Alligator mississippiensis: one gene and its partners. The protein of the gene in region 1 binds, or shares a complex with, the protein of each later gene. Links are inferred from orthologs where the notes say so. Each region holds a gene or a part of one and is shown in the gene's direction. Other genes may lie near its edges. The genes, in order: IRF2BP2, VGLL4, ZBTB16 and IRF2.

What was found.
Region 2: the proteins of IRF2BP2 (region 1) and VGLL4 are in contact, whole or in part, in a crystal structure (PDB 8YTF), measured with the Homo sapiens proteins. The link is inferred for Alligator mississippiensis from reciprocal best matches to the Homo sapiens genes IRF2BP2 and VGLL4. Residues at the interface, in NP_892017.2 of Homo sapiens: Thr516, His517, Phe518, Val519, Gln520, Pro522, Phe531, Leu557, Trp564, Ala565, Phe566, Met567, Glu570, Thr573, Ile574; in NP_055482.2 of Homo sapiens: Arg161, Ser163, Val164, Ile165, Thr166.
Region 3: the proteins of IRF2BP2 (region 1) and ZBTB16 are in contact, whole or in part, in a crystal structure (PDB 8YTH), measured with the Homo sapiens proteins. The link is inferred for Alligator mississippiensis from reciprocal best matches to the Homo sapiens genes IRF2BP2 and ZBTB16. Residues at the interface, in NP_892017.2 of Homo sapiens: Thr516, His517, Phe518, Val519, Gln520, Pro522, Phe531, Leu557, Trp564, Ala565, Phe566, Met567, Glu570, Thr573, Ile574; in NP_001018011.1 of Homo sapiens: Arg285, Ser287, Val288, Ile289, Thr290, Ser291.
Region 4: the proteins of IRF2BP2 (region 1) and IRF2 are in contact, whole or in part, in a crystal structure (PDB 8YTG), measured with the Homo sapiens proteins. The link is inferred for Alligator mississippiensis from reciprocal best matches to the Homo sapiens genes IRF2BP2 and IRF2. Residues at the interface, in NP_892017.2 of Homo sapiens: His517, Phe518, Val519, Gln520, Pro522, Phe531, Leu557, Trp564, Ala565, Phe566, Met567, Glu570, Thr573, Ile574; in NP_002190.2 of Homo sapiens: Arg331, Ala332, Ser333, Val334, Ile335, Lys336.

Annotation. Positions count from the first base shown.
Region 1 is NC_081824.1:152,548,027-152,555,039, reverse strand, and holds the start of IRF2BP2 (interferon regulatory factor 2-binding protein 2), read left to right. Parts: upstream 1-4,013; 5' UTR 4,014-4,305; coding exon 4,306-5,248; intron 5,249-6,741; coding exon 6,742-7,013. UniProt on the Homo sapiens protein: Acts as a transcriptional corepressor in a IRF2-dependent manner; this repression is not mediated by histone deacetylase activities. Represses the NFAT1-dependent transactivation of NFAT-responsive promoters.
Region 2 is NC_081835.1:32,363,375-32,371,166, forward strand, and holds the start of VGLL4 (transcription cofactor vestigial-like protein 4), read left to right. Parts: upstream 1-4,786; 5' UTR 4,787-5,233; coding exon 5,234-5,315; intron 5,316-5,790; exon of another isoform or gene 5,791-5,952; intron 5,953-7,792. UniProt on the Homo sapiens protein: May act as a specific coactivator for the mammalian TEFs.
Region 3 is NC_081839.1:33,140,961-33,148,466, reverse strand, and holds the start of ZBTB16 (zinc finger and BTB domain-containing protein 16), read left to right. Parts: upstream 1-4,500; 5' UTR 4,501-4,871; coding exon 4,872-6,118; intron 6,119-7,506. UniProt on the Homo sapiens protein: Acts as a transcriptional repressor. Transcriptional repression may be mediated through recruitment of histone deacetylases to target promoters. May play a role in myeloid maturation and in the development and/or maintenance of other differentiated tissues.
Region 4 is NC_081825.1:71,101,798-71,109,339, forward strand, and holds the start of IRF2 (interferon regulatory factor 2), read left to right. Parts: upstream 1-4,527; 5' UTR 4,528-4,755; intron 4,756-7,542. UniProt on the Homo sapiens protein: Specifically binds to the upstream regulatory region of type I IFN and IFN-inducible MHC class I genes (the interferon consensus sequence (ICS)) and represses those genes. Also acts as an activator for several genes including H4 and IL7.

The DNA of each region.
Region 1 (7,013 bases):
AAAGCGCTGTTTACTTAGTATACATTGATAAAGGCTCTTTAGAGAAGCGGGGGAGGAAGAAGGGGGGGTAGGGGGCGGAAAGCAGCTTTAAAAAATATAAAAGGGGGGCGCTCCTTTGAGCCGGGAAACAAGAAGCCTTAACCCTTCTGTCTCCAGAAAAAAAAATGATAATAATACAAAAATCAGGAGCCCCAAAAGGCAAAACAATGGGCGCAAGGCGCGCTGGGAATGCTGAAGCAGCGGCGGTAATGGATGACTAAGGTGAAACCTGAGAGGAAAAGCACATGGGAAGAGGCCGCCCCTTGAAACGCTGCTCGGATGTGGGTTTTTATGCCCGTGTTTTCACAGTCTCCCCCCCACCCCGCTTTGCTTCTGGTCGATGCCCCACAGCAAAGGCTCTGAGAAGGGGGACGAGCTTTCCCCAGCACGGGGGCAGGCCCTGAGCTCAGGGCGCCCGGGGAGGCGCTGGTTCCCTCGGGGCCGGGACGCGAGGGCGGGAAACTGCCCGGACATACCAGAGCACAGCGGGCGACGGGGACGTGTGTGGGGCTGGCCCCCGGCTGCAAGCGGCGCTGGCAGGGCTGACCTCGGCCCGGCGTCCGGGGAGGGGCCTCGGGGCTTGGAGGTGCAAGGGCACGAGCGCCCGGCCGCGTCTCTGGAAATCCCCGCGGCGCTTTTGCATGCTTTGTGTGCGTGTTTTTAAACCCCGCTTCCAAGTCGGGGTAAAACTGCAGGGGATAACTGCAGAGCCCGGTCCCTCGTGGGCTTCCACGCCCGCTTCTCTCCCTCTCCTCAGCAACTCTTTCAAACGCAGGAAGGCGGAAAGAAAGACAGTTGCATTTCCACCTGGGAGAAATGTTACAATCGTTGACCTGTCCCGGGACGAGGAATCCCGAAAGCTTGCTAAGAAAGACTCTTTATTTTAGTTATTTATTTTGCAACTATCTAGTGGGTCTAATAAAAGCTGTCACCTCCACTACGAGTCCCGATTGCTTTCACCTCTACCGAGAAGTTGTGATTCCTACAAAGCAGGAAGGCCAGGGATTGTGGGGACAGACAGCGCTCGTCCAGCTCCAAAGGGAAAGCAGTGGGGCCGGCGGATCAAGAGCATGGCGGCGGGGGGAGGAATAATTTCCTCAGCCTCCCCCTGCGGCCGGAGGAGAGCATGCCCTAGCAGCCAGGGTGCAGGGCGCCAGTTGCTCGCTGTGATGACAAAGCACTTCGTTTGAAGCCGCATCGAAACACCCGGCTGCCCACTGGGCTGTGACCTGGGCTGCCCAGTGCTGCAGCCTCAGCTTCGATGGTCAGCAGTGCAGGATCGCCATTGACCAAGCAAAGCAAGCCCCAGGCTGCCAAGGCCGGGGGGCAAAAAGGAGGGAGCTACGGGTGGTACTGGGAGCTGCAGAATCAGATCAGTCGCGTGGCAAGCAAATAATAATAATAATAATAGCAAAAAGGCCAGGAGCATGGCAAAGCATCAGGCGGGTGGGAGGGAGAGGAGCGGCAGGGCTGAGCCGCAGAGCCCCGAGCTGGCTCAGGGCGAGGGGGGGCTATTACAACACGCAATGCGGGGATCCTGTGCACGCTGCTCTCTCTACGTTAAGTAAAAGTTGAGCTCGGGAGGGAGCTTCGAGCCCAGAAATAGCGCGGGAGGCGGTGCTTAGCGCCGTGACGGGGCCGCGGCGGCGCTGGCTCAGTGTCCCTGGAATGTGCATTTCGCTTCGGCAGCGTCAAGTGCCAATTGCATGGAGTCACGTCCCCGGCCGAGCTTGCGCGCACGGGCTGCAGCAGCCCGGGAACAAAATGCGGACGTCAGAGCTTCCCGCTCCCGCCCTCCCTTCCTTTGTAACCTACATAACTCAGCAGCGGGACTGTGGGAATGGTGACCCGCACGCAGGAGCTGCAGGAAGCAGCCTCCACTTTGTTTACTCTGCACAAGCACACACACACCTCTCGCTGTTTGGGTGTTTCTGGCTCGACCGATTCTTTCATTTTGGACAGCCACACACACCGATTCCTTTAGTTGCGCAAACACCCCCCCATATTTGGCTGTTTCTGGCTTGAAGGATTCCTTTATTTACACAAACACACACCATATATTTGCGTGTTTCTGGCTTGACTGATTTCATTTTGCAGTCACATACACGCACCGATTCCTTTATTTGCACAAACACCCCCCCCCATATAGTTGGGTGTTTCTGGCTAGACTGATTCCTTTATTTCCACAAACGCACACTATATATTTGGGCGTTTCTGGCTTGACCAATTCCTTCATTTTGCAGTCATAGACACTCTCTTATTGCACAACCCTCCCCTATATATTTGGATATTCCTGACTTGACTGATTATTTGCACACACACACTATATATAATTTGGGTGTTTCTGGCCTGACTGATTCATTTGCACAAACACATGCTCACAGACATGCATACACACCCTGATTCCTTTATTTGCACAAACACCACCCCTCTATATAGTCGGGTTTCTGGCTTGACTGATTCCTTTATTTGTACAAACACACACACACTATATATTTGGGTGTTTCTGATGTGGCCAATTCTTTCATTTTGGACAGTCACGCACACACACGTTCCTTTATTTGCACACCCCCCCTATATAGTTGGGTGTTTCTGGCTTGACCGATTCCTTTATTTGCACAAACAAACACTATATATTTGGGTGTTTTGGGCTTGACTCCTTCATTTGCAACGACAAAGGGGCAGACCTTTTCTCTTTCCCTCTGATCGGGATGCCATTGTCAGAGGAGCTGGTTGGAATCCTTTTGAGAAGGGAAATAACAATAATGACAATAAAACCTGCCTGCAGGGTGGGAGGGCGGCTGTGTTTTGCTCTTGCCCCTGATGGGTTTGTGGTTGAAATGATAGGAAATCTAGACTGTCCCACTTCCTGACCCAATGAAAACACCTTTAAAAAAAAGAAATAAGGTGAGGGGGGATCGCTGTATTTATGATGTTGCTGCCCACCAGGCCAGGTAGAACAGCGCAAACAAAGGCCCTGAATGCCGCTGCCTGTGCACAGCCCAGGTGCACTTTTGCACTGCACTTGGAGCCTGGCAGGGCTCTTCCACATAAGCAGGCCCTGCTTTATCAGGTGGAGGGAGGGAGCCGCGGGGGGGGGGGGGGGGCGCAGTGCTCATTCAGCTCCAGGAGGTTTTGGCGGCCAGAAGAGAAGGCTGGGAAGGAGTTGCCCAAGGTCAAGCAGCAGAGACTTCATCAGAATTGGTCTTCCTTTGAGCACAGAGTGGGCATGATGACCTGGCTGGTGAACCAGCCGCTCCCCTCAGCCTACAACCGCAGGCATGTGGGGGAAAAAGAGCCAAAATAAGGCAGCCTCCCGCATAGAAAGTGTTAAAAAAACAACTGCTGCTGCACTGACACCTTGGGCCCTGCCTTGTCCCTTTTACCTACCTGGGATAGTGGGGGGAGGGGGGGACAGGAAAAGAGAAAAAGTCTGAGCCCCCCACAACACACACACCCTCTCCTCCAAGGCCCTGATACACACACACACACACACACACACACCTCTCCAAGGTCCCATACACCCCCCCCCCCCGCTTCCTTCAGGGCCCTTGACACAACCCCAGGCCCCATACACACCTCCATGGCTCCATATACACACACCCCCTTCAAGGCCTCTGACACACACAACCCCAGGTGCCATGCACACACGCACACCCCCCCTCCAAGGCCCCCGACACACACACACACACACACACACACACACACACACACACACAGAGCTTGCTTCCCATTCAATTCCAAAAGGCCAGCTCTGCCCCGCCCGGCGCTGCCCGCCCGAGAGGGAGCGGGTTCTTCTTGCAGCGCTGTTGTCTTGGCAGAAGTTCAATGAGCAGCAGCGGCAGCAGCAAGAGGAGGGGGGCCCCGTGTGCTGGAGGGAGAGGCGTGTGTGCGTGTGTGTGTGTGTGCGCGCGGGGGGGGGGGGGGGAGCGGGCGGCGCGCAGGCGCTCCGAGGCACTGTCGAAGAATCGCGGCAGTGGAGCAGAGCGCGCAGGCGGCAGCTGGAGCTGGTGTCCCCGCCCCAGTGCGAGCGGCGGGGCTGGGCGGGCAGCGCTGTCGCAGGCAGGAGCAGAGCTGCCGCGCCGCGCCAGGGGGGCTATGCGCCTCTCCGCCTCCCTCTGACCGCAGCCAGCCCGGGGTGCAGCAGCGGCAGCAGCAGCAGCCACCCCAGCAGCGGCGGGGTCTCCGCCGTGCCCCTCCAGCGCAGCCGCCACCACCGCCAGCAGCAGCAGCAGCGCCGGGGCCCGCTCGGGGGGGGCTGAGGCCATGTCGTCGGCGGCGGTGGCAGCAGCCGCCGCGGCGGCCGCGGCGTCCCGCCGGCAGTCGTGCTACCTGTGCGACCTGCCGCGCATGCCGTGGGCCATGATCTGGGACTTCACGGAGCCCGTGTGCCGCGGCTGCGTGAACTACGAGGGCGCGGACCGCGTGGAGCTGGTCATCGACACGGCGCGGCAGCTGAAGCGGGCGCACGGCTGCTTCCCCGACGGACGCGTCCCGCCGCCCTCCGCGCACGCCAAGCCCGCGCCGCCGCCGCAGCAGCCGCCGCTCAGCGCCAAGGACCTGCTGGTGCAGCCGCCGCAGCTGAACCACGCGGCGGGGCCGCCCGACGCCGGGCCGCGGCAGCCGCTGGAGCGCTACCCGCTGGGCGGCGCGGAGCGGGCGGCGCAGCGCCTGGGCGCCGACTACGGCGGGCGTGGGCAGGTGAACGGCATCCTGGTGCCCAACGGCTTCCCCAAGGGCCCCGACGACCCGCCCGAGCTGAACCGGCAGAGCCCCAACCCGCGGCGCACGCACGCCGTGCCGCCCACCCTCGTGCCGCTCGTCAACGGCGGGCTGGGCGGCCGCGCCGCGCCGCTGCAGGTGGCCGTGGCGCCGGCCGGCGCGGAGCTGGCCCACAAGCGGGGGCCCGGCTCCGTGTCGTCCGCCGAGCACGACGGCAAGGACAAGGCGCCGCCGCTGCAGCCCCGCGGCTCCGGGGAGCCCCTGGCGGCCGGCGCCGACTTGGGCGCGGAGGGCAAGGGCCGCGGGCCGCCGCCCCCGGGCGCCGAGCAGGAGTGGCTGGGCAAGCCCAAGACGGTGCGCGACACGCTGCTGGCCCTGCACCAGCACGGACACGCCGCCGCGCCCTTCGACGGCAAGTTCAAGAAGGAGCCCGGCCTGGGCGGCCGCCTGCTTCCCTACGACGCCAACGGCGCCGGCGCCAAGGCCGGTGAGTGCGGGGCCCCCGGGGGCGGGTCTTGTGTTTGCACCCCGGTCTGTGTGTGTCTGTGTGGGTACACCCCCCCCATCCGTGTGTGGACACCCCCCATGTGTATAGACATACATCTACATACACATTTGCACACATCTTCACACGCACACACATGTATACTCAGTATATTACATTCCATACACCTTGGGAGATGTGTGTATGTTGCATTCTCTCACACACATCTGTCTATCTATACCCAGGATGTAACATTCCATACACATTGGGAGATGTTCACACACACACGCACACACACACAGATAGACCCAGCATGTAACCCCCTGCCACACACACACTGGTTGTGTATACAGCCCCTGCACATATGTATACACCCCCCCATATATGTATAAGCCCCCACACATACATTTACACACACACACATATGCCCTTCCAACACCTACACACTCCCTACACATTGGGAGGTGCGTGCATATTACACACACACACAGAACCGGCATAGAACCCCTGGTACACATTGGTTGTGTGTACACACCCATTGACACCCCCTGTCTTGGGGAGAGAAAACAGCACCTGATGAAGTGAGCTAGCTAGATTTTTAGGTGTGTCTGTTAAGATGATAAGCAGCCAGCAGCAATTATCTGCTTGCTTGTTTATCTATCTATCTATCTATCTATCTATCTATCTATCTATCTATCTATCTATCTATCTATCTATCTATCCCTAGGTAATAAGCAACCAGCTGCAGTTTTCTGGTTGCTTATTATCTAGATATATAGATAGGTAATACCAAAGTGTGTGTGTGTGTAATTAGCACCAGCTTAGCTAGGTATACCTATTTTGCTTAGTCTGTACATTAAAAATCTGCCCTGCCTTGGAAGAGAAAACACCCCCTTTGCAAATGGAGAGGGAGAGTTGCAAAACTGCAGCTCCTGCACCCGGACTTCCTGGTGCTCAGCGCAGCACGGCTGCAACATGTCATTGTGCTGAAGTAGCATAACACAGCACTATGAGTCAGGTCAGGGTGACAGACACTGATGAGGGCTTTCCTCCTCCAGGCTGGTCTTGCCATGGGTGCTGATGCATGCAGGAAAGGCACCAATCACCTTTAGCCTGTGAGCAGACATTATTTTTTTTCCTGAACTGAATCAACAGCTGCCATGTGTTGCAGATCATGTTCTCTCTCTCTTTTTTTGCTGAGTGCGTGTGTGTGTGTGCAGCTGGGGTTTCCATGCGAGCGTGCACACGTGTTGGTTAGAATTTACACGGGCACACCTTGGTTAAATGAAACATTGAAGGCAAGTGCCGTTGCCCTCCATCATCTCCTGTCCCTATGTATGTGGGCAACAGTGCTGCATGTACATTTAAAGCAGGAGTGCCTTTTCACCCTCCAGGATTCATGTAACTGGCTCCCTTATAGCTGTCTGTATTAAACTGCTTGCTTATTATTGTTCTTTCTTTACACCTTTCTCCTCCCCATTCCTTTGCGTTTCCAGGGGCTCGGGCAGCAAGGAAAAGGAAGCCTTCGCCAGAACCAGAAGGTGAAGCTGGACCCCCTAAGATCAATGGAGAATCACAGCCGTGGTTGCCAGCCTCATCAGAAGGGATGAAAATGCCCATGACAGCAACACCTTTCATGTCCCCTCCACCTCCAACTGCCTCCCCTCATTCCAACCGGACCACGTCGCCGGAGACGGGCCAGAATGGCCAGTCCCCTATGGCTGCACTCATTTTAGTAGCAGACAATGCAGGGGGCAACCACGCCTCC
Region 2 (7,792 bases), on another chromosome or scaffold:
CCATTACCATATTTCATTACTTACTTGATTGTCCCAGTGTCCAGCAGCTGAATTTTGGGGAAAACTACATGTGGTTTGTAAGTAAGTATGGTACTCTGAGGCCTAGTAAAGTGAAAGTTAATTGTAGCCTGTGAGATCGAAAACCCAAAAGCAGAGTCATTTTGCATCAGAGTGAATTGAACGTAGGTGCTGTAGTACTTGAATGATTTCTCAAGCCCATCCCACTTCAAATTTACAAATATAATTTTATTCATAAAAGTTTCTTCCATCTGGAAAGCTGCTTATTGCTCGGTCTGGGGGTAGGTGAGCACAGCTTTAACTGCTAAAAATTTGATGAGCCTCATGACATTTAATTAACAATCTAGGTTTTTAATGGATCATTATAATTGAGTGTGTGCACATGCACGCTCTCACACTCACGCGCGCATGAGCGCTCGCGCACACACACACAAACACACACACACTCTCTTTATTAAAAGGATTGTAGATCTCAGAGAGTGTGGTTATGAGCAGTTTTAAATTATTAGGTACCTAACTTAAGTACCCAGCTACTTTCTTGTGCAGCAAAGTAGGAGCTTTTACACTTCATCTTCTCAATAAAACAGTTTTTTGTTTTATTTTTGCATTAATCTCTGAAACAGTGCTCGTGTCCCTTTAATTGAAAGGAAATACAGGCAGGCATTTTTCAGCAGAGTTTTTCTTATTTCAATTAAAATACTTAGAGGAAGTAATTTTTTTCATCTTTAAATTTTATTCTAAACTAGTAACCTAGGTTTAGTAGAAATAACAGTAATAGAAGTGCCTTGGCATTTTAAAAATGTTTTTGATGAAATGTCATTTTAGGGAGCACTGCTATAAGAGCAGTGTCTCCCCTTTTGACATTCAGGAGAGGTATTAAGGCTAGGTACAGACATTGTACATAAACCACTTTAAGTGGTCAGAAACTGGATTAAACCTGTAACAGAACAGATGTTCAGTGCACATAAACCAGTTTGAAAATGTCTGAAAAATGGTTTGAGATAAACCTGGTTGAATGTAGTATCAGACTTAACTATTTGGCTCAAAACGGTTTATGCAATGTCTGTCCAAGACCCCTTGCTGGTTTAAGTTACATCAGAGTCCACCAGCATCCTGGCAGGCTCTCTGGGCTGGGCAGGGCTCTCTGCTCCATAGCAGAGCTGGCCCCTCCCCTCTGCTCCCTGGCTGGAGTTCAGCACAGACTTGCAGGCACAGCAGGGTGTGCTGGCTTCCCTGTGCCCCCCTCCTCCCCACTCTCGCCACTCGCTGCTTAAGCAGAGATCCCTTTCTCCTCTCTACCACAGCAGGGACCATAGCCAGCATGTGGTAGGCTAGTTAATGCCAAGGTAGGGTGTGTGTGTGTGTGTGTGTGTGTGCGCGCGCGCGTGCGCAATTTCACTGGGATAGGCAAACAGTGACCACTTAGGACTTTTGAAGCTAATCAACAGGCCAGCCAGTAAACTGTTTAAGAAATGTGAAGTAATGTGGAGAGAGGCTTTTGTTTTGCTAATTGGGTGACAAAGACTGTTATCAGTGCCCCTCTTCCCCCCCCCTCCCCCGCCAGGTCTGCCCACACTCCTCCCTTATTGCTGCAGCGGGGGGGGGGGACCATGGTCCCTGAGGCAGAGAGGGGCAGGGAGCAAAATTCGTTTTCCGTCTACGCCACTGGCAGCCGGGTGGCGCCTTGCCCCAAATTGGCCTCTGGCTTTCCCCTCTGCCGGAGGAATAACCCCATCCCTGTCCCCCCAGGGCCCCTGCCTAGCTGTGCCCCCTTCCTGCCACTGCAATGGGAGGGGTCAGGGCCCTTACTGAGGGCAAAAGTCCCTGTCCCACAGTGGGGGAGAGTGAGCCGCTTCCCGGCAAGGGGCTGCACTGTGGGCTTGGGTTGCGTGCGGCAGCGCCAGGGTGTGGAGTGGGCCAGAACCTTGCAAGCCCCCACAGTGCCGCCACACTCCACAGCCGTGCTGCTGACCCCACAGTGCATCGTCGCTGGGAAGCTGTGATGGGCTTCTGCCTGTCAGGCATGCACTGTTCCAGCTGCTGGGTGGGGGTGGTCCTGGCCCAGCCCCCACCGCTTGTTTTATGCCAGGGAAAACCATTGAGGGGGTTTATTCAGCCCCCATTATTCCCCGCTGAGCTTCAGCTGCAGGCCAGCCAGGCAGATGCTGCTGCCAGCATCTGAATAAGCTTCTTCCTACTGGGAGGGGTCTTGCTGCATGCACAGAGAGAGGCTGCTCAACCACAGCTGGGTCAGCTCAGCGTGGCCACCACCACTCTGTGCTTTCTGTTGAGCCTGGCTGCCGCTGGCCTGGAGGACAGAGCGGTGGCAGCTGGGCCGGGCACACCACGTTGTGGTGGAGTGGCCTCTTTCTGTTCTTGCAGTAAGCCCCCTCCCCGCAGGAAGGGAATTATTCAGCTGCTAGCTGCTTAGTCTGCCCAGCCGGGCTGCAGCTGAAACTCAGGGTGGGGGAGAATAACGGGGGCTGAATAAGCCCCATCAGTGGCTTGCCCTGGCACAGAATGGGCAGCAAGGGCTGGGCTTACCCCCGCCTGGCAGCTGGAGCCTGTCATGGCTTCCCGGCGGGGCTGCGCTGTGGGGCCAGCAGAGCGGCTGTGGAGTGTGGTGGTGCTGCAGGGGCTTGCAGGGCTCTGGCCCCAGACCCCAATACTGCTGTGTGCAGCCCGAAGTCACAGCGCAGCCCCTCGCTGGGAAGGGGATCACTTTCCCACACAATGGGACAAGGGCTGCTGCCCCCAGTAAGGGCCCTGGTTCCCTTCTGCTGCAGCGGCAGGGAGGGGGCATTGCCAGGCAGGGCCCCGGGGGGCGGTGGGTGGGCAGGGATGGGGTTATTCCTCCAGTGGAAGGTACACCTGGGGGCCTATTCCGGACAGGGAGCCACGTGGCTGCCAGTGGGGTAGAGAGGAAACAAACTTTGCTCCCTGCCTCACTCTGCCTCAGGGGCCATGGTGCCTCCCTGCTGTAGCAGCGAATAGGAGTGTGGGCAGACCTGGCTTGGGTCCTTGCCAGTGGCACAGAGTGGGAATTAAACCCTGCTCTGGCCAGTTCAGTCTGGGTTGGCCACTCCCTCCCCAGCACAGCTTCTCTGCAGCCGAGGGCTGGCTCTAGTGCCCCCTGTGCCTGGCCTGAGCAACTGCGGGCATGTTTGTCCAGTTACAAACCGGTTCAGCCTAGACAGATTAGACTAACCTGTAAAGGTTGAATCAGCTCAGGCTCTGGCTTTTTGAATGTCTGTCCCTAGCCTGAAAGGCTCCATATCATCAAAAGATGCATGCACTGTACACACTGCCCCTTGCCTCAGAGTGCTAGCCTGGGTCTGGGGGCTGGCAACACTCTTGCCCCTTGAGCAGCCAATGGAGAAAAGCCTGGGACCATGCAGGCAGACATCCCTAATGATAGAGTCCTGCCAGGGCCTGCCCATGTCCCCTCAGCTCATCTCCCTGCAGAAGGGAAGGGAGACCTGCTTTAGTGTGCTGCCCCCCCCCCCCCCCCCCCCCCCCCCCCCCCCCCCCCAGCATCTAGCCTGAGACACTGCAGGCACGTGCCTGAATTTCCTCAGTCCAGAGAGAATGTCTGTGCAGTTTCAAAACAGTTCAGCCTAGTCAGGTTAAACTAACCTGCAAAGTTTGAATCAATTCAGGCTCAGGTTTTTTGAATGTCTGTCCCTAGCCTAAAAGACAGGAATGGAATGTAGGCATCCAATTTCTATTGACAGATGGGTGCCTAGCTCTTTTTGTACCTTTTGAAAATCTCCCCTGAGGTAACCAAGGCAGAAAAGTGATTTGTACAAGGCCACAGACCAGATATTAGAACCCCAGAACTCCATTATGTCTTTGTTCAGACCACACTTTCCTACTGTTGCTTTAGGTGTTAATCTACCACAGGGGATATATAAAGATACCTATTAGGATGACATACCACATAGAAATATCGATACAGATGTTGTTCTTTCTGCGATGATTGGTATACATCTGTATAAACAATTAGAAATCTTTAAGATCAAGGTTTTGAACTGCTGGAAAACAAACCACATCCTGAGATGAGAACAACTATTGTTTTAAAAAAACAAAAATAACAACAACAAAAGTGTCCTTCACCCTGTCATTTAAAATGGTGTTAGAGCAGGCATTTAAAAAAAAAAACTGTAAAATGTTTAACTACAGATCTTTCTTAAGGATTTAAAAAACAACATTAAACTCCAACATAAACTTCACGTGTGTTTATAGATACATATTCCACTATTCAAACAGGTGATTTTTTAAAAATTATAATTCTCATTTTTTCCATATCCTGGCTACTAAGAATCCAGTTTGTTAATATTTCAAATAGTATTACTTTTCAGTGAATTGGCAACATTATTGTGCTATGTTGAAACCTTATCAAATAGTTGCAAATATTTTAATAGTCAAGTAAAAATAAATGTGAGGGGGTGGGAAAAATTATTTAAAGTAAAAAGTTTAAACTCAGTGCTGTCACTTGGAAATCCTTTCTGAACAAGTTAATCCTGTTTCCTTGCAGATTAGCTTGCTCAGTTTCCTCAACTTAGTACTCGGAGGTCTCTGTGTTTTTCTGGACTTTTCCTGTCTCCCTCCCTCTCTGTTTGCAGTGGCAGCACTGCTTCCTGTCAAGAGCAGCTCTGACATGGTTCTTTCTTTACAGACTCTCCACCTCCTCCTTCCTTTTCTTTCACTCAATACATTTAGAGACTGATCTTGTGCAGAAAATATCCTTGACATTTGAAGAGCTCAAGGGATTCAGTGAGCATGCTCAGTTCTCTGTGCCGGATAGAAAGAGGAAGCTAGTTTACATACGAGTCATACCAAGCATAGCCTGCATGTCAGTGCAGTTAACTTGCAGCGGGCTGTGAGCAGAACTAGCGTGGCTTTGTTTTAGGAAATTTCCTTCCTTTCTTTTTCTTTTCTTTTAATTAGACAAAGATTTACAAAAAGGTTTTTAAGAGTCTCCTTTGTAGAAGGACATACAGTACACTTTAAATTTAGCCTAAAAAACCTGGAAGGGTCCTCTTTTTATCCTTCTAAACTGCCTTTTAATATACCTTTTTGATTAATTAAAGGCTGGGCCTTGAGCTTGTGAAGTTTAGAAAGAGCCAAGAGCTACTTAACAGCATCTGTCTGGCTGCTTCTCCCTTTTTCTGGGCGAAAGCAAGCAAGCTGGTCTTTTTTGCTAGCCTGATAAATGCTATTTATGAAGATGGACCTGTTGAACTACCAGTACTTGGACAAGATGAACAACAATATTGGCATTCTGTGCTATGAAGGTAATTGTTTCATTTCACAAACTGCCTTTTGTGGACTGTATTTTACTTTAAGTTGGATTTTTCTCCCCTTTGGTTTATGTTTGTTAACACATGCTTTAGTACTGGCTAAGTGTCAAGTAAAATTTGAATTCTTATTTTCAAAGGAATATTTTCTATTCTTTTGAGCATGACATATAGTTTGGGTTTTTAAAAGCAAAGATGGCACTGATTGAAATACTTTAAATCAAGAACCTTGCTTGTGCACCCAGATACCATTCTGATAGTGTTAATATAGTTGTAAAGGAAATAATTATCATTTTTATAACATGGGTAAAAGCATTAATGTATTATACCTTTATGTGTATAATATAGTCTAGCAAGCGTATACTAAATAAATGCAATAAGCTTTTATTTGTGCTTTATCTTTATTCTACATGCTACATCTACATCTATGCTTTATCTACATTCATAACATATTTTGATACAGGATACTTACAAGTTTTTGTCGTAATTCAGTAATTGGTTTTAAACAGTGAAGAATTTTGCTCCTTTGGTTTTGAGGGTTGTAGGTATCCATATTACTGGGCACGGAGTGGCCTTTTGTTTGACTTCTCATTTTCTATATAGCTCTGAGAGTCCTGACAGTGAAAGATGTTTCTCCCCCATACTCCCACAGACACATACACGCACCTCCTCCCCCAAGAACTATCCCACACTGCAGCCCTTGTGGACGCAATTACACAACAGTCTGGAAAACTTCACTTTTTTGTCTTTGTGTTCTGAGTTTGCTTATTTTGTCCAGCTAACATAGTTTAGTGTCAACTGCTGATACTGTGGGTAATAGTAGCCTTGTTTCAAAGTTACTTTAGGTAATGGGGGAGGGGGTGCAGCTGCGTAGTTTTAGTTGAGCTTTATCTACGTGCAGTTTACAGAACTGGTAATGGCTTGGCTTTGAATGGAAAGAAAGGCACTACTGAGCTAATTCAGCTTGGCAGTAGGACTGTTTTTGCTGTAGCCACATTCAAACATAGCAGAAATCTTTATTCTGATTCAGCAAGAATTTTTTCCAAGTTCATCTGGAAAGTAAACTTGCTGTAAATGACTGTAAAGCAATAAAAATATATATAGATGTGATCAGGAGATATCTGCTCATACCACCTAAGAAAAAACTAGGCCTTAAATCTGGGAGCAGAACCTCACTCTCATAAAATGTCTGCCCTTCATCCTGCTTCAGTCAGAATGGCCATATTTCCTAGCTTGAGAGAATAAAAATGCTCATATGTAGAACTATGAAAGCCTCTACTTTACTTTTCATTTACATAACAATCTTGTAAAAGAATGTACTTGGATAAATCTGCTGTACAAAGAGTGGGTTTAACCAGTTAGTATTGAAAAATACAATGTAGATTGTGTGTGGCCATCTATACTTTCATACTCTTTCCCATTTTGTAGCTTCTTTTTTGAAACTTCTTTGTTGCAAGAAGAAACCAGATAAAAGAATTTTGAGTTTTTTTGGTAAGTTGGTCATCGCCCTGAATTAAAAATGGTGCTTTATTATGACATGACTGCTAGTTTGTAATGAAAATGAATTCTAAATAGAATTTCTGCTTATCGAGGGTACTTCTGGTTTTTTGCGTTTCTCTGACTAAGGGAAAGGGTTTGTTTGTTTTTTCCTTAGGCTTTCATTAATTTCATTCCATTACGTTTATTAGTCAGTACTTTGAAGCTGCTTACCAAACTCTGCTTTCTTATCATTCCTTTTTAAACCTGTTTTTTTGGACAGATCTTACTTTTGGTAGTTGGAAAGCAAAAGACCATCTTAAGGAACACACTCTAATATGTTTTGTTTAGTTTAGATGTCTCTTGCTGTTTTCCTTATTATGGAAGTTAACATTATTTTTTAACACTAAAATAAACATATGGGAAATGAAAAAAGAAAAGCAAAACCTGATTGCTGTTTTATAGTGAGGTGTTTATATCCTAGGGGTTTAAAAAGTATAAACACTGGCCCATATCTCCACTAAACCCTGAAAGGTTATTTTAGAGATGCTTACAGATCTTCCTTGCCACTGCCATGGAATTTTACAGTGGGATTGTCAGCAATGATGGATTCTTTTTAAAGCCACAGCTTGCAGTTGTGGGTGTGGGAGTGTGTGTGTTGAGAACAAAGTGGGGTTTTTTTCAGATTAATTTCTTAGGCTTTGAGGCTCGTACTTGAACTACTTATACATGTGCAAGCACACGCATACATACACACGCATGTGCGCACACACACACTTCCTGGAAAAGTTCTTTTGCAGATGTCAGATAAATATGCATTACATGATGATTATATAATCATGATGAGCTATATATATATAGCTCATCATGATTATAATATATCATGATGATATATATGATATAATCACGTGTCAGGATTTCTAGAAGAGAGGAACAGAATTAGATGCCCATATCCCACTGGAAATTAGTGGAATGTTTGTTTGTTTATTTCATGGGTG
Region 3 (7,506 bases), on another chromosome or scaffold:
GGTGAGGATTAAGTTCAAAAAAGTAAATAAATTGGAAACTGATGGGGAGAGATCAGAGTGCAGTGGCATATGCCAGAAGGAAAGGCTAGTTCTTGCCATATAAAGCGATTAACTCCTTTGTTGGGCTGGTCTCAAAGCTCAGAAATAAACCCTAAAGCCAAGGATAGCATTTGCTGGGTGTTATTTTTCAGAGATGGGCAGCCACAAAGCCAACCATCTATCCACTTAGGCACAGACTGGCAGTGCTGTTGCATCTGCCTTACTGGGGGGGGGGGGGGGGGGGTGCTGCCTGCTGGGCACTGAAGAAGGTCATAAGAAGGTCTTCATGTGATGCAATGTGATGTGATGCACCTGTTGTCATCCTACTCTTCAAAGACCTGCTGAAGTTGCAGGCACTGGTTGGATTTCCTCCACCTGAGATGATTGGCACTCCCCACACCTGGAGGAGTAGTTTCACAAAGAGCTGCTCCTTTGATCAGTAGATCTGTGGCATTTTTTTCCAGCAGCATTTGCTTGGGTTCTGCTACAACTTGCTCCTTGCAAGACTCCTGGGCCATAACCCCAGACCTCTGAAGTTTAGTGCAATTCATAAAAAAACAAAAATGTGCAGAGCGAATTGCATGAGCTCTGCTGTTAAAAGAGGACTAAGCCTGCACAGGGATGTCTGGATATAACTTCTCCAAGGCACTCCCCAGGTGATGCCCTCTAAACCTGGTGGATTCTCATTCTTCCCTTCCCATTGGCATCAAGGCACCCAGCTAACACTCAAATGGTTTTTTCATTTATGCTATCAGACCGTCCAAGGCTCCTGCTCTTATTCGAATCAACTTTTTAAAGCTAATTCTGGAAGACCTTAGAGCTGGGTGGGAGGGGGACTCTTCTTTGGAGCTGTATTTGCTATCTTAATACTTCCTGTGCATGTTGTGTGCATGACCTCAAGAGGAGACAATGGGTTCCACGTCATGGGCTAGAGGTTTTTTTGGATCTTCCTATTTTATGCCCCTTGGAATGGCTGTGCCTTTTGCTTCCTCTGTGGCTATTGATCTCCAAGGGATGTCAGCTATGAAATTCTGTGTGCATGCGGTGGAGGATATCAATTTTGAAGGAAGTCTAAAGGCAGATTTCCTACTGGTACGACTATTTCTGAGGGGGGGACTCCATTGTTCCTTGCATTGTCAAGCAACAGATGTTTCTGAGCAGCTTGTTACAACAAAGCTAATGTAACTGTAAATATTTGCTTTGTCTATATTTTTAGTGCTATCTATGGTTTGGACCAATAAGTGGTTTCTTTAGATCACACATGCACGGAAGGAAATGTTTGCAGTGAAATACAGTAACTCTTGTGATGACTCATGGTGCGGTGTGGATATGTGTGGGGTAAGGTATGGAGAAGCAGGGGTGTGTAGAAGAAAGCAGAAACAAGTGGACCTGAGGGAGTGCTGGATCAAAGTGTGCTGCTGAGCTGCCCCAATCCAAAGGGGTCTCCACAAACGGCACCTGTGGAAATGAAACTCCAGCTGAATGGAGTCTGCACAAGAAGGCAATGCACAAAGCAGGCATGGTTATTTGTATGGCAGCCGTGCTTGATGCTCTACCCAGGAGCTGGGCCCTGGGGTGATAGGCTCTTGTACACACACAGAGTAGGAGATTCTCCCTAAACCAAAAAGTTCACAAGTGAGATAGAAAAGATGGAAAAAGGGTGTGTGTGGGTGGGGGGTGAATGAAGGCAGCATGACTCATCTAGTCTTAATGTCAGGGGCCTGTGTGCCTGCATGGTGCCTCTCTCGTCAGCCCCTGCAGAGAAGCCAAGGACTGCAGGCCAGAGGAACCCGGCTCCGGTCTCACCCCTTGGTAAGATTGCTCCTGCTGGGCAAGGCTAAGCCTCCCTTTTTAGGAGCCAGATCTAGTGGGCACTTGGGTTGTGAGCTTTTGGTGAGTAGTGGGAGGAGGGTCATCTTTTTGTTCTGCAGGGCTGTGCTCTCCTTGCTCCTGCTGCAATAGCAACTATCAGGAAAAAGGCATTTGAATAACTAGCGCAGCCTGTGTGATTAGTATCTGAGTACCGCCATGTGCGTACACACATGATTTCAGGATTGGGACCTCCGATTGCAAGCTTGGGGTAGAGACCAGATCGTTTCTATTACAGCACATGGTACGATTCACCGATTACTTAATGCAGTCTTGAAGAGCCACTGTAATGAAGTGTAAGTCACAGTTTGTGTTTGGGGGAGAACTTGAATATCCTTTTGCCTGCGCTATGCCTATTCTGTGAATAAATGTAGGATTTCTGGCGTGCAGGGTCAAAGTAGCTGTAGGAAGCAACTCTGTTTAAAAGTTGAACAAGTCAGTAATTTTACACTCTCTATATTTATTTTATTTTATTTTTAAAGTGAAATGCACCAATTCACAGGAAGGACTGGGGGTTAATTTTCAGTGTGCTGCCTGGGAATTTAGCTGTGGGATTTCCATTATTGCTAATGGGATTCATGCAGCTTAATTTCATGCAAGCTACACTAAAAATGTACCCCTAACCGTCTGCAGAATTTCGGTTCTGAAATCCAACCTCTTCAGTTAGAGCGGGGTAAACAAACACCTGAAAGCACATAATTGTCTGCCTGTTTTTTTCCTGAATCACTTTTGATTTAAGGTGTGGAGGGGAAGCCTCTGATTTAAGCAATCTTTAAAAAAAAAAAAGAAAAAAAGGAAGAGGAGATGTGTATTCATGCTGATAGACAGCATGCTGAATTTCAGCTTGCTGCCAATTAAAACGGCAGAGTTATAACCCCTGAAAAATGGGGTGTAGTTGATGCCTTATCCTTAAGTATAGCACTGTGAATGCTACACTATAATACTTACCGGATAAACTAAGCCCTGTTGTCTTGCAGTATAAAGGCCTCTGTTATTAGGCTGCTCCTGTTAAATGACTGCTATCATTTGGTCCCGAAGTACATTAAATCCCATTATAATTATAAACACACTTCCCTATAACATTCTCTTTAGATTACATGCACACGGCTTTACCCCTAAGGGTATCTTTGTACTAATACCATTCTTATTTGTTGTTTTAGCTGTGGCAATATCGGGTCCTGCAGGACCGGGAATAGGCAAAGGGGAGGGGAAAAAATCTGCCAAATGATTGAGCTGTGCTGCCTGGCTTCTCCGAGAAACGGCACAGCTTAAAAGGGGCTGAACTTGGGCGCAGGGCTGCCCCGGGCCACTTGAGAAGGACGAAATGTTGCACGGTCTCCCTTCTGTAAGAGGCTGGGCAGTAAAGCGGGCGGGCGGGCGGGCGCTCCCACGCGGGTCACCTGCACCAAGCGGCCGCTTCCCCGGCCGTGCACGCGGCTCGGCGGAGGCTCAACAAGTGGAGGCGGCCGGGAAGCTCCGGGAGCAGGTGCCGGCGGGGCCGGGGCGGGGCGGGGCGGGGCGCATCCCCCGCGGCAGCCGCCGGCTCCTCCATGTTTGTTGTTGGCAGAGGCCGGCCGGGCGAAGCGCTGTCCAGCAGCCCGGGGCTCCGCTCCGCGTCCTCCCTCCCCACCGCATCCATCCACACCGCCCGCTCCGCTCCCGACTAGCCGGCACATGTTCGTGCACACCCCACAGCACAGCACAGCCTGCTCCGCTCCGCTCCGCTGCATCCGAGTGCAGACCACCCCCCCCAATCCGCTTCAACCGGGTCCGGTGCAGACCCCCCAGCCCAGCCCGCTCCGGTGCATCTGAGTGTAGACCACCCCCCCAATCCGCTTCAATCGGGTCCGGTGCAGACCCCCCAGCCCAGCCCGCTCCGGTGCATCCGAGTGTAGACCACCCCCCCAATCCGCTTCAACCGGGTCCGGTGCAGACCCCCCAGCCCAGCCCGCTCCGCTCCGGTGCATCCGAGTGCAGCCCACCCCCCTGCTCCGGTCCAATCGGGTCCGGTGCAGACCCCCCAGCCCAGCCCGCTCCGCTCCGGTGCAGCCGAGTGCAGCCCACCAGCCCAGCCCAGCCCGGTGCGGTCCAAACTAGTCCGGTGCATTTTAGTTTACACCACCCATCCCATCCCATCCCACCCCGCTGCGGTGCAGACCCCCCACCCCGCCCCGGTCCGGTACAGACTAGTGCGGTGCATTATAGTCCAGCCCGATCCAATCCAATCCGGACGAGCCCCGCGCGTTGTAGTTTAGATTCCCCCCCCCCCCCATCCCGGCCCGGTGCATCCTAGTGCGGACTACCCATCCCGGTGCGGTCCAGACGAGCGCGGTGCATTTTAGCGCAACCCGGACTATCCCCCCCCCCCCCCCCCACTCCCAAATCGCGGTGCGGTGCGTGTCGGGCGGGAGCCGGGCGAGCGCGGGTGTCCGGCAGCTAGGTGTCAGGCCAGGCTCGCAGGCGCGCGGCGGGAGCGCGGGGCGGAGCGGCAGCGGGACGGGGCGGCGCCGGCAGCCGCGCCCGGGCGGGCGGGCGGGCGGGCGGGAGGTGGCTGCGGCCGCGCCGTGCCGTGCCGTGCCGGTGCGGTGCGGGCGAGCGGGCGGGATCGCTCGGGGGCGCGAGCCCGGCGCCAGCAGTCAAGATGGAGCCGGGCCGAGGCTTCGTCGGGGGGGAGCGGCCCTGACGCGGGTGCAGCAGCGTCAGTGATTTGCTGGCCCGCGAGCACAGCGGCGCCGGGGAGGATGAGAGCGGGCACTGCGAACTGCCCGCGCCCGCCGCTGCTCCGGCGCTGAGCCCGCAACTTCCCCGCACCTGGGCGCTGCCAAACTTGGAGCCCGCCCGGATCCTAACGGGCTCCTTCCTCTCTCTCTCTCTCTCTCTCTGTCTGTGTCTCTCTGTCCCTGCCCCGCTTCCCCAGGCAGCCCGGGGGAAAGACACCCTCATGACTGATCCTCCGGAGCACCATGGATCTGACTAAGATGGGCACGATCCAGCTGCAGAACCCCAGCCACCCCACGGGGCTGCTGCACAAAGCCAACCAGATGCGGCTGGCGGGGACCCTGTGCGACGTGGTCATCATGGTGGACAACCAGGAGTTCCACGCCCACCGCACCGTGCTGGCTTGCACCAGCAAGATGTTCGAGATCCTCTTCCACCGCAACAGCCAGCATTACACCCTGGACTTCCTTTCGCCAAAGACTTTCCAGCAGATCCTGGAGTACGCCTACACCGCCACCCTCCAGGCCAAAGTGGAGGACCTGGACGACCTGCTGTACGCGGCGGAGATCCTCGAGATCGAGTACCTGGAGGAGCAGTGTCTGAAGATCCTGGAGACCATCCAGGCCTCCGACGACAACGACACAGAAGTCGGCGTGGCGGACGGCGGCGCCGAGGAGGAGGAGGATCGGAAATCCAGGTACATCAAGAACCTGTTCATCTCCAAGCATTCCAGCGAAGAGAGCGGCTACGCCAGCCTGGCCGGCCACAGCTTGACGGGGGTGATGGTGGAGCAGAGCCCGTCCGTCTCCACGTCGTTTGGGCTCTCCGCCATGAGCCCCACCAAGGCGGCCGTGGATAGTTTGATGACCATCGGACAGTCGTTGCTGCAAGGGGCTTTGCAGCACAACCCCTCCGAGGACTTGCACTTGGTCGGCGGCCGCCACCCCAGCCTCTCCGAAGTGAAAACAGAAGCGATGCAAATTGAGGAAGCCTCCAGCCACGAAAGCCCCCGGACGGCGGAGTCCAGCACTTCTGGCGGGGACAAGCCCGACGACAAGAGCAAGGACGGGCCCGGGACCCCGACCCGTAGCAGCGTTATCACAAGTGCCCGTGAACTTCACTATGTCCGCGACGAGAACGCGGAGCAGCCCCCCGAGGCGGGCCAGGGAGCGCCGCTCGGAGGGGAGCAGTCGGTTTCTCAGAGCGAGAAGCCCCTGAGCGTCTATTCTGTGCTACCAAATCACAAAACTGACTCTGTGCTCGGCGTGCCGCCCTCCATGACTTCTGCCCTGCACGTGCAGCCGGCTCTCGCCGTGTCCATGGACTTCAGTGCTTACGGGGGCCTTCTGCCCCAAGGCTTTATCCAGAGGGAACTGTTCAGCAAGCTCGGCGAGCTGGCAGCCGGCATGAAAACTGAGAGCCGAGCCGTCGGGGAACAGTGCAGCGTGTGCGGGGCAGAGCTGCCGGACAACGAGACGGTCGAGCAACACAGGTGAGTCTTCCCGCTACGTCCTTCTCAATGTGCCATCGGGTCTCTCCTCACGTCCTGTCACGATTGGCAATTTTCTCTTTTTTTTCCCCCCCAGTTTCTGTTGCACAATCCACAGGGCTTTTTGTGGGGGAGGAAGGGGGTTGTTTTGTGTTTGTGAGTGAATTTTGTGCTGGAGGGTTGCGGCCTGTGTCATGGAAGACAGATCCCCCGTGGACGCGATTCACCCTTGTGCAGAGAGGGCTGGTGCAAAACCTGTGTGTCGTGTTGTTCCCTGCTACGGTTGTCAAACATGGGACTGTGTGCGCTGCCCGGGCATTTTGCTGGCCCTCTCTACTGCACCGTATGTTTGCAACAGGCAACGATTTGGCAGTGGCACCGCGTGTTAGGCAGGGAATGGCCTGACAAAGGATTGTGATGTTGCTCATTTGCTGAGAGTTGGTCCAAGCTCCCCACTAGCTTCCCAGGCTGATGCTGCCTGGGAGTGTGGCTAGTGCTGTCTCATGCCAAATCCGAATTTGCCCCAGGTATCTATCTCCTTCCCAATTCTAGCGCCTGCTTCTTTAAGCAGATGGGAAGCGTGCCTGTGTGGTCAGACACTCAGCGATCTGTCTGCTTGCTGTCCTAGGGACTTAGTCTGGGCATCTGACTGCAGATTGGGGTGTGTGCATGTGTGCGCGCACTATTATTTTTGGGTGAGACCTCTGTGGCTCTTTGCATCTTGCTTAGTTGGCTTTGGGATGTTTCTTGCTGTGCCTCCTGGATCTGTGCTCTGATTCTAGGCCAGTCTGCTGCTGCTCCTCTCCCCGGGAGCAACCTCTCTGGCAATGTTTAATCTCCAGGCTCTGGACTGAACGCCACAGAGCCCAGCTCTGAGTCCAGCCACACTGGAGTAAGGTCAGAGGGCGTGTGCTGAACTTAGTGGAGTTCCCTTTAGGTTCAGGCCCATTTTGAAGGAGGTCAGAGTTTCACCTTTGCTTGAGTTTTGACTCGTGGGTGTGGTCTGGGGGTTTCTCCGGAGCCAGTTGGGGCCCAGTCAAGTGCATTCATCTGCCCGGAGAAACGCTGGAGCTTGCTGTGCTGACTTAAGTGGGGCCTGCTGGGGCAGTAAAGAGGTCTGATTGTGAACATCCATCTGCGGGGTCAGGGCTTCGCCTGCCGGGAGCAGCAAGAACGGGGACCCCAGCTGAATTTGGGTGCAGTAATCACAGACCAGTCGGCCTTAGGCTACACTGCGAATGCAAGCCTTTATGCCTTCTGTACTCCAGGGAAAGCATGGCACGCTCGGTAACAGGGATGCTGTAGCCACACAGTTCATGGGGGGGTGGGCATGGAAATGGGTTCAAGGAGCTTGCCCAGTAGGACATCAGAGGAAGAAGGCCAGTTTGGGC
Region 4 (7,542 bases), on another chromosome or scaffold:
TATTCCCGCCAGTGGCTCTGCAATGATGTCGGCCAGTGCCTTCAGCACCCTCGGATGGAGCTCATCCGGGCCTGCCGACTTAAAGGCATCCAGTTCTTCCAAGTGACTCTGCACCATCTCAGGGTCTACACATGGAAGTCTGGTGCCTTGCCTGCCTTGTGGCCCTCCTGCAGGTAAGTAAATGTTTTGCTTTTTTCCCTCCATTTTGATACCTTTTTCAGTGCTGAGCCCTGTGAGCGGGGCTTCCCGGTCCTGCTTCTCCTCATCCCCAGGACACACGGGTCCCATGCCAGGGCCAGGAGTGGCAGGAGCATGGAGCCTGGACTTGGAGGAGCACTGGCAGGGGCTCTGCCTGCCATGGGGGGGGTGGGCAAACCCTCCCCCTCCACACATGCCACAACTCTCCCCAGCCACTCTCCCCCCCACATACTCACAGTCTCCCATAAACCCCATACTCACCCACACCCATGTTCTCCCACCCCACATACACATACACACCTATCCACCCCCACAAGCTCCACACCCACACCTTCCCCCACACTCCACATACCCACACATCCACAGTCCCCCACAAACCTATACCCATGCATCCATACCCCCACATGTCCCCCATGTGTAAGATTTCCTTTTTAGCTATTATACAATCACCTCTATGCACACTATACAAACACAAACACAGGTAAATCAAGACAAAAATGTTTTTTGAAATCACATTAATGAATGTCATAGCAGATATTTGATTTTTTAGAATATAATTTGGTATTTTTCTGGTTCCGAGATGGCAACCCCCCCTTGCATGCTTCTGGGGGGCAAGAGGACAGACTTCTGGTGGCAAAGGTCAGGGGTTAGGGGGCAGGACTTCCAGTCCCAAGATGGCAACCAGGGGGTGGGGCACCTGTCAAGGGGTGGGGCTAACCTTGTGGCCCTCAACAGCTTGCCAAAACTCAGTAAGCGGCCCTCCGCCCAAAATAATTGCCCGCTCCTGCTTTACCGTCTGCCATATAAAATGATCACAGCATTAATATTGGCTCCTACTAAATCCTGTGATTTTTTGATGAATGCTGTCATTGTAGCAACACCGAAAGTATATGGTTTAAAGTTTTGCTCTCTCTGTGGTCTCTGAAACTAGTATTTGTTACTGTTAAATATATATTATAACATTAAGTGAAATTTAGACACTGCAGAATCGCAGGTGGTTGTGAGCATTATTGAGAGGATATGTTTGTACTACAATCTAGAGATTTGATGCAACTTGTATAGTGCCAGCTTCAGACCAAATAGCTTGGGCACTAGTAATAGCAGCATGGACATTAGTGCAGGCCGCATGAATCTCCCAAATGCTTGTAGTCTGTACTGCTATAGCTAGATTGCTACCGCTAGTTGATTATAGGCTAGTTTGGAGAAATCCACATGAGCTGTCATTACACCTTTGGACTGTAGCTAAAACATACTGATAAGAGAAATGTTTTGTATTCAGCACTGACTGAAGGCCCAGTCCCAATCACAGTGGAGTCAATCAGACCTTTTAGCAGATGTTACAATGAGTCAGATGAGGCCCCAGAAAATGTAAAGTAGCAAAATTCAGGAAATTTGACAGTTTTGTCAGGGAATGTTTCAGTTGTACCAGGGGACTCTACAGTTTTGTTTGTGTGGCTATGATATTTCTTTCTAGATTAATTGTCCTTCCTTTGCTCATTCTTCTGCTTCTTAAATGTTTTAAGTACTTTTAATATGTACTGCACCATATTGCACTGGTGATTTCTGCCAGCAGGAGCCTTCTAAATGCACTATGTGGTTTCCAGATTTTTTATTATGTTCCTTTCTCTGAAGCACTGGATACTGGCCATGAATGACTAGTGATAGGAAATTGGTCTCGGTATGCTTGTGATAGTAGTAATACTTTATTTACAGCTTTCATTGGAACAATACAATAGAATTAACAGTAAAATAACATATATAATAATAAAATGTCATAAAAGCATACAATTATGTTACACATTCTACTAATTTAAACAAAAGTGACATAGAGCATAATATATGATGATACAAAAAATAGATAAATAAAGCAGTAGTAAAAATGAAAAGCAGGGAATTCTATTTGATTTTGGCCCTTATTTTTTGTTCAAGTAGGGCAAATATGCCAATGGAGTATATGATAGACTGTAAGTTGTTAGAGAGGAGCCAAACTGTCTTTTCTTCATTAGCCCAGTACTTAAAATTTTCCACTATGCCCATGTATGCTTGCTTATGTTCCTACTGGTACTGAGGAAACGGCTCATATGCCTGGCTGTTGGGCCTTGCTCATGCACTTAGGATGGAATTTTCCTCCAGTCTGTTTGGCACCGACCCCTGGAACATTTTTGTTTTCCCCTGTAGGAGTGTATTTTACCTAACAAATTCCCTACTGGAGTAGGAGCCAAAGTACTGCAGTCCTCGTTTCTCCTGCTCTTTTCCTGTGCTGTGTTGTAAGCATTCTTTGATTGTTTTCACTTTCTTTCTGGCTGTGGTATATGGAAGAAGCTGGACTTCTTGTGGACCATTTAGACAAACATTTATTACATGCATGTCTGCAATCCCAAAAAGTCCTTTCTGTGCTCCTAAAATGAAAGGTGAAAGAGAAACAAATATTCTAAAATAGTTTGGTTCATGTTTTCTTCAGGTGGACCAAGATGTGTTTTACTTTAATTAATATCACTGACAACCATTGCCTCTCTGTAGAAAAAACCCCAGATTCTCTTTGAGGTAAAATATAATTAAATAGAACAATATTACAGAAAGCTTGTATGTCAGCAAATTATGAGAAAAAAAATCTAAAATCTTTTAAAGATAGCTTATTCAGTAAGCAAATTGTGAGCATACATTGTCACCAAACATTTCATAAATATATTGGACAAGTTTCATGCAACCATTCATAGTTTTGCTCTTTTGTTATTAAAATTTAGGACAAGGTGGGTTAAGTAAAAAATAGTAGGTGATTTAAAAAAATCAAAGTGACTTGTCACCTGTGAAAAGTCAGGGTTGTGTAAATTTTTGTAGAATAAATATTTTCTTTGGATTTCCACTCACCCTGAGAATGTGAGTTCATATTTTCAAGAAATACATATTATCTTAACTAGTTCATGCTTGAAAATCTAGCTATGGCTTTTCAGACCACATCACAATCTTTTAAAATATCAACATTTGCAATATACCCGTGTGAGGGGTAAATACTATCATCCCCACTTTACAGAGGGGATATAGAGGCACTAAGAAACTAAATCAATTTCTGTGGGAGTGTGGTATCTAAATGTCTTTGTGGGCATTGACCCAAGTGACTTGCTGAGAGTCATACAGGAAATCTGACAGAGAAAAGATCCAAACCCTGTTTTTCTGATCCCCAGGATAACTCCCTAAGCCCTAGTCTTTGGAGACAACATAGTGCAGAGATGCCTTGCAGAGATCTAAAGGACAATTCTAACACAATTGGAACATTGATTTGTGTGGCACTAGGCATCTGGCTGGAAATGTACATTATTTTATCAATAAGTGAAGCTTAAAATTGCAAAGAGGGGTTGAAAATTTAACTAAAAATGTTCAGGCACACCAGTCAAGCTGCACATAAAAAAGCAATCTGTAAGGAAACTGGCAGCATATGCTGAGCATCTGGTGCATCTCCACATATTCATAATATCTGATACCCTGGGATGGAAGGAATTAGGATGCAGTGACAGCAGAGACTTGCATTATGCTTTCCCAGTCTACAGAAATTGGGAATCGGTTCTAACTCCAAACAAGCTCTTGGGCTGGGCTTTCTTTTAGGCCAATGTCTGATACCTTTTGGAGGCTGGGCTGGGTTTGTTTTCCACACCTTTTAAACGAAGAGGTTGAGTGTGCATATATTTTGGAGGGTGAGGCTGTGGAACAGGCTGCCCAGGGAATCTCCTTTCCTGGAGGTTTTCAAGAGGAGGCTGAATAGGGATTTGACAGCGGTGCTTTAGCACTAGCAGAAGGCTGTCATGTTATGCACTGCCTAAATCCGAGAGAGGTGCAGAAGCTTTCCTAAAGAGACTGTCTAAATCAGAGATGCATAAGCTTTCCAAAGCAGTGGCTTGCTTCACCAGACCCTGTGCCAGTTATGTATGTGCGCGGGGGGGCTGGACCTTGATCCCTGAGGTCCCTTCCAACCCTAGGCTTCCCTGGGAGGCTGTTGACACATCCTCGAGACATGGAGATTGGGACACTTAAAAAAAGCAAAACCGCAGAACCAGGCGTTCTTTGTCAGAGGATTAGAGAAGGAAAAAGAAAATAAAAAGGAGGAAAAAAGAGGCCAGGCTGTGGTCCAGCAGCTCCTCTGGTTTCTCTTGCCCTGGAACTGAAACCTCGCAGCCTGCCTGTGTGCGTCTCTGCCTCTCGCACACGGACACGCCGCTGCGGCTGCTGGAGGGAAGTGAAAATGAAATCGACTTTTCCGAGAAATGATGAAAGCGGCTCCGCCTGCCAATGAAAGGCTGCGGCAAACTTCCGCACCCCTTCCTCCGCCCCTCGCCCGCACAAACAGCCGGGAGGGGAGGGAAAGGGGGGGATTTCCAAGCCGCCGCTCCTCGCAGTTTCCTCTCCTTGTTTTGCTTTCGATCTGGCCCTTTCTCAGCCCAAGCGGCGAGGCAGGAACTTTTAGTTTTGCTCCTGCGATTATTCAGCGGGCGGTTTTCATTTCCACTTCGCCTCCCCTGGCAACGGCGGCACCTGGAGGGAACATTTAAATCCCGGCGCGCCGAGGTAATGTATTTTTTAAAAACCCGAACAAACAACAGCAAAGCCCGAGCAGAGCCCGGGCCCGGGGGGGAGGGGGGCACGGGGCCGCTGTCTCCCCTCCGCCCCCACAAACGCCAGGGCGCGGCGCGGGGGCAGCGCGGGCCGGGCCGGGCCGGGGGGGACGCGGCGGTGCCGCAGCGTGGGGGGGAGGCTGTGGCGCTGAGGCCGCCGCCTCCCGCCCTCCGGCCCGCCCGCCTGGCCTCCCCCCGCGGCGGCGGCCTAGCGGCGGCGGCGACAACCGGCCTGACTGCCTGCGCCCGGGCGGGGCCCGCTGTGTGGAGGGGGCTCCGTGACGCGAGCCCCGGCGCGCTCAGCCCCGCGGCCCGGAGACCAGGCCTGCCCGGGGCGCGGCCGGGTGCTCGGCCTTGCCCGCCGGGCCGGGCCGGGGCGGAGCCCCCTGGACACGGGCCCCTGCGGCGGGGCCGCCTCCGGCCTGCCTGCGACGGGGGCCAGGGCCAGGGCCGCGGGCACCAGCGCCGGGGGGCACTGCCTTCGCCTGCGAGCCCGGGGGAGAGGTGTGTGTGACCCCACCTCTCGTGTGTGTGTGTGTGTGTGTGTGTGTGAGACACACCACCTCTGTGTGAGCGTGTGTGAATCCGTGTGTGAGCCTGTGCACTTGTGCATGTGTGAGTTGTGAACCCATGTATGTCTGAGCCTGTGTGCGCGCGAGTGATCCCACCCCCCTTCCGGTCTGGAGCCAGCGAGCCTTGCCGTGCGGCGGCTGAGATGACCTTGTTTACATCCATGATTCTCACCCAGGGAGCCACATTCCCCCCTGGGGGATGCTGCACGGTGCAAGCCCTGTGAGGTGCATGCCCCAGATTCGCCCCATAAACACAAGAGGCGAGGACTTCCTAGGGCAGCATCCCTTATTGCACCAACTAGGATAGTGAGAGAAGCTTTCTAGTGTAAGACATCATGGCTCCAATGTCGCTCCTCATGGCTTCAATGTGGCTCTTATGACACCATCACCAGATAAACCCAGAGATGTTCATATAGGAGCCAGGAGTGTTAAAAGTATCCTGGCCTGTTGTGGTCTTTCTGAGTCTCTGCAACAGAAGAACATCTCTGTTAGTCTTCTGTAGTCAGAAATTGAGTGAAAGCTAAGAGCTGAGGTTGTCAGAGGGCTGCCTTGAGGCTGTCGAAGGGTGCTTTGAGTCTAGAAAGGGCAAGAATGACTGGTTTAGACCCTCAGAGGTATTTAGGTGCTGTTACCCTATGGTGCTTGAAACAGTTGTGGCAGATAGTTGGACCTTCAGTGCTGCCTGACAACATGTTTATAGAAGCAGTTCTAGAAATAAGATTTGTTTTACAGTGAGTGCTTTAGGATTGTGGCATAGATGGAGCAGTGATATACAGTCTCATGCTACTGAAGAAAAATGTCCTCCTGTGCAGCCTTCGACAACAGCCGATTAGCAGTCCAGTCCTGCACACCTCTAATACCTGCCCAGAGCCGTGACATCAGCAGGCACAATTTTACCTTCATGGATCCAGTTGCAGGCCTGGAGCTATAATGCATATTTTTATTTTTTTAAATCATTGCACCACTTGAACCTTGGTTTTTCAACTGGCATTGACATTTGAACTGTTCTTTACATGTGATGTTACAGGATCTGCTTTTTCCTTTCTGGTGCATACAGTGTTAATCCACACTCTGGATGGTAGTGTTAATCCACACTCTGGATGATCTTGTTCAGGGTCTGCTTTGTTAATGCTGTGTAGATGTACACCATCAGGGCAAGTGGCTGGTCCTGAACATTTTCACCCCCCCAAATTGTTTGTGAATGAAGTAGGAATTATAGCTGTGTGTAAATCCAGGCTCAAGTACCAAGGGCCTCTCTGCCCCCCTCACCCCATGAATACCGGGCACTTTGAATCCCTAGTGAAAGCAGTGAGTGTGAAGTTGCTCAGCATGCCAAAATTGGATCCTGAGGCCTGGATCCTCAGTGATATTTAGGAGCTTAAATTCCTTTGAAATTAGCTGGTGTTATGTACCTAGATAGCTTTGAGAATCTGTTCCTGAGTTGGTTTATTTTACCTTAGATGCTTTAATTTCTTTTACACAAGATTTCTGATATGTAAAATACATATATCATTATATTTAATAATATTGCATCTGAAATGAAATCCTACATTTTCACAGGGAGACAGCATTGTCAGTGACATGAATAATTCAATGAAAACACATTTGGTCTGTCTGAAGAAAACCGCAGACCAAGCTGTTCTAGTGCATTTATTCCTCTTTCCATATTTAATATTGAGAACATAGGACTAGAAGGGACCTCCAGAGTCCTGGAGTCAAGTCCCCTGTGATCCATTTGCAGTCACTCAGATAGAAGAGGCTTATTGATTTCAGGGTCAGAGTCTACCGCTTTCCTCCTGTTTAGTGAACACTTATAATTGTTAATGGTTATAAGTCTACTGGGTCAAAATTTTTATACTGCATTTTCTTGAACATAGTAAAAAATTTAAGCTAGATTAAATATTGTATGTTTGAGTTTAGTAAAAAAATATTTAAAATAAATCTCTCTAAGTTCTACATAGAATCCCTTTGGCAGAAAGTGAGCTAGTACTATAAGAAGAGAATTGACCACAGCAGAAACATTTAAATTTACCATAGCAGGAAAATGGTGATATGGTTATAAAAGTCACACATTTTACCTATAAAACAAATTATTTCTCTCTGAATCTGAATTTTTTCTATGCCTTGAAACATGGATAAGATTTCACTGTCCCTCTGCTTGACAATTT